Linked DNA regions of Callithrix jacchus. The protein of the gene in region 1 interacts with the protein of each later gene in a pairwise test. Links are inferred from orthologs where the notes say so. Each region holds a gene or a part of one and is shown on either strand. Other genes may lie near its edges.

Region 1 (3,408 bases):
AGGCAGCCCAAGTGCCGCTGCCAGCCCCGCTACACAGGTGACAAGTGCGAACTGGACCAGTGCTGGGAGCACTGTCGTAATGGGGGCACCTGCGCTGCCTCCCCCTCTGGTATGCCCCCTCATGCCGCCAAGCCTGCTCCTTGCCCCTGGGCCCCAGCCCCACCACCCGCTGCCCCACCTCAGGCAGATGCCCAGCTCCTGCCTCACCTCTAGTCTCCTCTCCACAACCCAGCGTCCAGGCACTCCGGACTCTGCCTCCCGCCCGGGTCCAATCCATTCTTCTGCTGTAGGGCCAGGTGATCCCGAGGGCCACAGTCCCACTCACATATTTTCTCCCACCAGGCATGCCCACGTGCCGGTGCCCCACGGGCTTCACGGGCCCCAAATGCACCCAGCAGGTGTGTGCAGGCTACTGTGCCAACAACAGCACCTGCACCGTCAACCAGGGCAACCAGCCCCAGTGCCGATGCCTACCTGGCTTCCTGGGCGACCGCTGCCAGTACCGTGAGTGAGCCATCCCTGGGCCCCAAGGCAGGCAGGAGGGTGACGGAGGACCCCAGAGCATGGGGTAATGGTCCACCTGTGCCTGGGACCCACAGGGGCCAGTTCAGGAAGGCAGGCCTTTTGCAGCTGAGCCAGGCCCATGTGGCTGGCGCTTCCCCACAAAGATGCAGTGCACCCCCAGCACCAGGATTATCCAGAGAGAAAAGCTGTGCTCAACGTATATAGAACCCGTATGAGGGTGGGGCCTGACTTCCTCTCCCTTGCCAACCACAGGGCAGTGCTCTGGCTACTGTGAGAACTTTGGCACCTGCCAGATGGCCGCCGATGGCTCCCGACAATGCCGCTGCACTGCCTACTTCGAGGGGCCGAGGTGTGAGGTGAACAAGTGCAGCCGCTGTCTTGAAGGAGCCTGTGTTGTCAATAAGCAGAGTGGGGATGTCACCTGCAAGTGAGTGGGGCTCTCCTCCACAGGTCCACCCCGCCCGGCCCCTGCCCTGTCCCAGTCCTGCCCAGCCCTTCCTCAGCATCCCACACACACCTCTGCCAGCCCCAGCCCCAGCCTCTGATTTCCTCCTACAGCTGCACAGACGGCCGGGTGGCCCCCAGCTGTCTCACCTGTGTTGGCCACTGCAGCAATGGCGGCTCCTGCACCATGAACAGCAAAATGATGCCTGAGTGCCAGTGAGTTGGGCCTGGGCTTCACCCAGGCATAGAGCATCCCTCCCTTCCCCAGATCTGAGCAGGACTGCCGGGCCTCAGCGCCCACCCTCCATGCCCTGTCTCCCTGGCAGCAGTGGCTATGGAAGTTATGCCTACTCAGCCATGTCCCTCCTTTCTGCAGGTGCCCGCCCCACATGACAGGGCCCCGGTGTGAGGAGCATGTCTTCAGCCAGCAGCAGCCAGGACGTAGGTGGCAGGGGTGGGGCAGGCAGGGCCGCCGGAACCTAGATCAGGGGGACCGTGTGCCTCCTGCTTCCCTGAGCCTTGGTGACTCAGTATCCCACCTCTTCCCTCCAGATATGGCCTCCATTCTCATCCCTCTGCTGTTGCTGCTGCTGCTGCTTCTGGTGGCCGGAGTGGTATTCTGGTATAAGCGGCGAGTCCAAGGGTGAGTCACAGGCAATCTGGAACGTTCTGGCCATTGTTGCCATCCTGTAATAATGCCAACCCCCAATAATCTCTGTCTCCTTATCCTCCTACCTCTCATCAGGGCTAAGGGCTTCCAACACCAGCGGATGACCAACGGGGCCATGAACGTGGAGATTGGGAACCCCACCTACAAGATGTATGAGGGCGGAGAGCCTGATGACGTGGGAGGCCTCCTGGATGCCGACTTTGCCCTGGACCCTGACAAGGTGGGCTGGGAGGCAGGCAGGGTGGAGGGCCATGAGGCGGTAGGTGGCCTAACCAAAGGTGTTGGGTTAGGTGAGGGGGCGGAGGAGGGGGTGAGGTGATTTGGGCCACAGGCCAGCCGCTGAGCCCCACCTGAACCCTGTCACCCTGCAGCCCACCAACTTCACCAACCCCGTGTATGCCACACTCTACATGGGCGGCCACGGCAGTCGCCACTCCTTGGCCAGCACGGATGAGAAGCGAGAACTCCTGGGCCGGGGCCCTGAGGACGAGATAGGGGACCCCTTGGCATAGGGCCCTGCCCCGTCGGACTCCCCCCAGAGAGCCTCCTGCCCCCTCCAGAGAAGTCCTTCAGCGAGCCCCTCCCCAGCAAGCCCCTCCCCGGCCCCGCTGGATGTATAAATGTAAAAATGAAGGAATTACGTTTTATATGTGAGCGAGCAAGCCAGCAAGCGAGCACAGTATTAACTCTCCATCCCCTCCCTGCCTGCTCCTCGACACCCCCATCCTGCCTTCAGGGAGGCAGGCAGGGAGGGCTTGGGGCTGCACTTCCACCCTCCCACCAGAACGCACCCCACTGGGAGAGCGGGGACTGCTGACCCCTCACTGTATAAGACACTTTGCAAAGGCTCTCCCCTACTCCTGCTTACCTGCTCCCACAGCTCCCTGAGGGCTAATTCTGGGGAGGGAGAGTTCTTTGCTGCCCCTGTCTGGAAGCTGTGGCTCTGGCTGAGGTGGGCAGGAAAGGATGGAGTGTTTTAGTTCTTGGGGAAGGCCACCCCAAATCCCAGCCCCGACTCCAGGGGCCCCTATGAGATGGCCATGCTCAGTCCCCCTCTCAGACAGGCCCTCCCCATCTCCAGGGCCCCCACTGAGGTTCCCAGGGCTGGAGACTTCCTCTGGTAAACATTCCCCCAACCTCCCCTCTCCTGGGGATGCCGAGGAGATGGGCCACACCGAGGAAGGGCAAGTGGGCAGCCCCGTTTTGGGGACGTGAACGTTTTAATAATTTTTGCTGAATTCCTTTACAACTAAATAACACAGATATTGTTATAAATAAAATTGTAAAAAAAAAAGCCAAAAAAAAAAAAGAAAGAAAAAAAAAGCCACTGGTGTCTGCCTGTGTGTGGGAGACGCTGGGAGCTGGGGCTGCACTTGCCGCTTTGGCCACCAGAGGGAGACCTGCTCCGTGCTGGAGGCAGACGAGCTAGTTTTCAGTGCCCTTCCCTCTCCATCTTGCTGTGCCCGGGAAGCGGGTGGCACTGGACTTGACAAGGAAGATCTGCTTCTCCTGGCTGTGTGACCTTCAGCTGTGACTTCGAGTCTCTGGATCGTGTGTTCCTTCTAGCTCTAGGATGCTAACTTAGATCTGTTTCTCTGCATTCACCTCTACTGGACACCACCCCCCTACCCAAAATGATCTCCCACAGTGAGAAGCTCCACTATAAGAAGTGACTACATTGAGGCTGAGAAGGCTTTCCTATCCTTCAGGGTGCTCCCGTGCGATTCTCTCTGCCTGCATTTGCTCTTGAAGCACTGACATTTGTGGAG
Region 2 (3,805 bases), on another chromosome or scaffold:
CATGTCTCGGGTGTACAATCAGAATTTTATTTATTATTATTGTTACTGCTTCCAGAGACTAAGACAGGAAGTAGCTCCTTCAACTGCCCACAAGACGAGAGAAGCCAGGAGCTCTTGAGACCTAGGGTAGTAACAATTAGGGCCAGACTTAAGGGAGACTCAGGGCTACCCTAAATCCTTTTGGGAGCCGCCCTGGCAGAGGGCCTGAGGCAGACAGGGTGGAGTCTGGTGGAATCCGCAGTGCTCTGGGGCAGGAAGAAACCGCCAAGACACCCCTGGAATAACTCCCATGGCTGCCGGCTGCTATTACACCAGACAGATGGCACCACACTACCTCTCAGACCTTCCTTGGCCCCTGAGTCCTAAAGGCCCCCACTGAGGGGTTTACCCAGCATTGCTACTGGTTGGGCCCCTTGGCTTTGTCATAGGGAAGATGGCTCTCTCCTGTCCCTAATGATCTGAATGCTGCCAGGAGGTTTCTGGCACCTGGAGAGCTGGGGTCAGATGGGGATCCCTGCTATGTCTTTTTAGAACAGGAAGAAGGATTGGCTAGCCAGGAAATGGAAGACAGAACACAGGGCTAGGTTTTAGAGCCCAGAGCTCCTCTCAGCCCCTAAGAGTGTAGGTAGCTAGATATGGTGTCGGGAGAGTGGTTACCGTAGGAGCATGTGGTGTGCCTTGGGGAGGGGGTGCCTCTCTCTTTGTTGACCTCCTGCTACCCCCAGAGACTCAGTAAGCTCTGCCAGGCAAGAGGAAACCAAGGAGTGAGGATAACCCCCGGCCCCCTGTACCCCAACCTTCCACCCTCCGGCCAGATGAGGAAGAGGCAGAGGCCTCCAGATTTGGGGAATGGTCTCAGGGCCCTGACTTAGCTTCTTAAAGTTCAGGCACCTGTTCTGGACTCTCACCCTGCCCTCTCCCCAACTGCACTATCAGAGCCTTGGAGAGGGCAGCCCCCTAGCTAGGCAGGGCCCCCAGGCACTACTGGCCAGAGGTGTGTCCCTGAGGGGCCGCAGATGAGCTCCAGCGGGCTTCACACGCGTTCCAGTGAGTCCTCTGCTTTCTTGAAGGCTGGGAGGCAGTAGTGTTTTCTCCACTCAACTGATGAGGGGGTCTGAAGGGCCAGGGGATCTGTCCAAGGTGCCAGGAGTTGGCGGCAGAACTGGAGCTAGGATGGGGCTTCGCACCCTCAAGGCAGGCTCGCGGAGGGCCGATCTCGGGCTGGAGGGGCCTGGGCCGGCGGACTGAGGGCAGGGCTACCACCACCTTGGTTCCGGGGCCCCGCTCGCCCCTTCCTCTCCGCGTCCTCTTCCCGGCCCTCTCAGGTCTCCACGGTTCCTTGCCTGGCTGAGCCTCAGTTTAACCAGTTTTCCTTACCGCCCCTTCAAATACTATTTCTCCCGCCCCCATCCCTTGGGGGGCCTGGAACTCCTTGGCGACTACTGAGTCCCCATAGCAACAGCGGTGACTTCACTCTGGGCTCGGCTTACAACCCCGGTGAGGTCACCGGCCGTTGCCAAGGGAACGGGAGGGTGCAAGGAGTCGGAGTGGGGACAGTAGTGGGGGTGCAGGCCGTCAGAGGCATGGCTGGAGTTGGGAGGAGGCGGCTTTGAGCTTCCTTGTTGGGGGCAGGCGAGAGCGCCCCTGTCTCTGGCGGCCCCCCCGCTCCGCTCCCTTCGTTCCCCCTTCGCGCCACGGAATGGACTCGCCCGGGCGGGGGGCGGTGCAAGCAGCCTCTGCCCCGCCCATTCCCCGCCCCCTGACGCCCCTCCGTGCACCACGCAGCCCCCGCGCGCCGGGCTGCTGTCTGCGGGCGGCGGCAGTGCGGGGAGCCGGCTGCAGGCCGAGATGCTGCAGATGGACCTGATCGACGCGGCAGGGGACACTCCCGGGGCCGAGGATGACGAGGAGGACGACGACGAGGAGCGCGCAGCCCGGAGGTCGGGAGCGGGGCCGCCCAAGGCCGAGTCCAGCCAGGAGCCAGTGTCCCGTGGCCAGGGCCAGGGCCAGAGCCAGGGCCAGGGACTGGGCCCAGGCAGCGGGGACACGTACCGGCCCAAGCGGCCCACTACGCTCAACCTCTTTCCGCAGGTGCCGCGGTCTCAGGTGAGGCGCCAAAACGGAGGGGGCGGTGCCCTGGGGCGCCGGAGATGTGAGGGGGAGCGCCGAGGGGCTGCAGCGGGAGGGGCACCCTCGGGTCCGGTGCCTGGGGACAGCGCCTGCATAGAGGCCGCAGTGGCTCCCTCCCGGGGGTGGGCTCTGAGGAGCAGGCAGGTCCGTCCTTAGGAAGAGGGCTGAGTTCATGCTGGGCTTAGAACCTTGAGGAGGGATTGGAGGAGGGAAGGACTGGAGTTAGGAGTAGGGAATTAAGAGAACAGAGCTTTGAGGGGTTGGGTTTGAAGCGTGGAACCTCAGGCTGTGACAGGGTTTCTCCTTTAGGGTATGTGGTTCCTGGTGAAAGTGGGTCAGGAGCAGGGCCTGGAGAAAAGGGCATCTGAAATGGTCAGCAAGGGGGATGCCATGGAAGATTGTGGAGAGGTGGGGACAGGGAACTCAGGAGCCACAGCCAGTTTGAGATCTGGGCAGCTGGGAATTCCCAGAAGGCAGGGGAGAGGAATGGGGGATGGAGCTGTTTGGCTGAGTTGGGGGCCTAGGGCCCCTGGGAGGGTGGCCAGATGCCAAGGAGAGTTGAATAGGGTTGGGGGAGCCGGCTGTGGCCTTTTGTCTTCCAGAACCATTGGGAGCAGTGCAGGGAAGTTGCTTCTGGGAAGTGGGGTGGCAGGGAAAGGCTTGGTCCCTTTCCCAGGATCCTGTGAATGGCTTTTGGCAATCCAGTTCAGGAACGTGAGGGCTTGCGAGAGCACTCCCAGGGGAGAGAGCCTTGGTGGAGTGGAGGGAGCCCTGTGTGGGCATTGTGGGGAGGGTCCTGGGGCTGAGAATGTGGAATGGGCAGCCCAGGAGATCCAGGAAGGAGGGCTGCTGACAACTGCCTCTGTCACTCCTCAGTCACGTGCCACTGTGGGGGGGGGGGCAGGTGCAGGAAAACTCTGTTATGGATTTGTCACTGGGATAGTTCATCCCAGTCCCCCAGGCCAGCTGCTGGGGAGACCCTTCCTTGTGCTTTTTCCAGGTCCCCACCCCTTCTAGGCCATAACTTCGCAAGCTCCAGAGCAGAGAATTACCTGTCTCTGACTTGGGCTGGATTTGAGCTTTTGCCAAGTAACCCTCAGTGTCTGGAACTGGGGGTCTTACTGTGTCTCCAAAGAGCTACCACTTCTCTTCTCCCCCCCCAGTCTCCTCCTCTTGCCGAACCACACACACTGGCCATTGCCATCTTTGTTAAAGCTGATAAGAACATCTCCCTGAGGGTTGGCCAGCTTCCCTGAGCAAGGCGGAGGGCCATCCGGAGCCAGCAGGCCTGGCTGTGACTTGCCACCCCTGCTGCCTGCTCCAGAGGGGAGTTGGGAGTGAGGCCTTTGACAGTGGAGGCGGGATGGGCATAGCAGACGCCCTAGGGATGGCCTGAGGGGGCAGGGCCGGGGCCTCCCTGTGCCCGGCACTGCTGACCACTTCCATCACAAGAGCCTTTTGTTCCCCGAACAGGACACACTGAATAATAATTCTCTGGGCAAAAAGCACAGTTGGCAGGATCGGGTGTCTCGATCATCCTCACCCCTGAAGACAGGTAAGTCAGGGCCCTCTTCCTTACCTGGACCTCACCCTGCCCTGACTCAAACCCCACTGCAGAGAACAAACCCCACAGTCTCCAATGGGCTGAGAAGAGGTAAACTGCACATCCCACATC

The links.
Region 2: the proteins of LRP1 (region 1) and MAPK8IP1 interact in a two-hybrid assay, tested with the Homo sapiens proteins (2 studies listed by BioGRID). The link is inferred for Callithrix jacchus from reciprocal best matches to the Homo sapiens genes LRP1 and MAPK8IP1.

Annotation. Positions count from the first base shown.
Region 1 is NC_133510.1:62,493,227-62,496,634, reverse strand, and holds the end of LRP1 (prolow-density lipoprotein receptor-related protein 1), read left to right. Parts: coding exon 1-109; intron 110-342; coding exon 343-504; intron 505-777; coding exon 778-952; intron 953-1,083; coding exon 1,084-1,185; intron 1,186-1,345; coding exon 1,346-1,410; intron 1,411-1,521; coding exon 1,522-1,612; intron 1,613-1,714; coding exon 1,715-1,859; intron 1,860-2,010; coding exon 2,011-2,151; 3' UTR 2,152-2,827; downstream 2,828-3,408. UniProt on the Homo sapiens protein: Endocytic receptor involved in endocytosis and in phagocytosis of apoptotic cells. Required for early embryonic development. Involved in cellular lipid homeostasis.
Region 2 is NC_133511.1:110,923,440-110,927,244, forward strand, and holds part of MAPK8IP1 (C-Jun-amino-terminal kinase-interacting protein 1), read left to right. Parts: intron 1-1,785; coding exon 1,786-2,106; intron 2,107-3,603; coding exon 3,604-3,685; intron 3,686-3,805. UniProt on the Homo sapiens protein: The JNK-interacting protein (JIP) group of scaffold proteins selectively mediates JNK signaling by aggregating specific components of the MAPK cascade to form a functional JNK signaling module. Required for JNK activation in response to excitotoxic stress.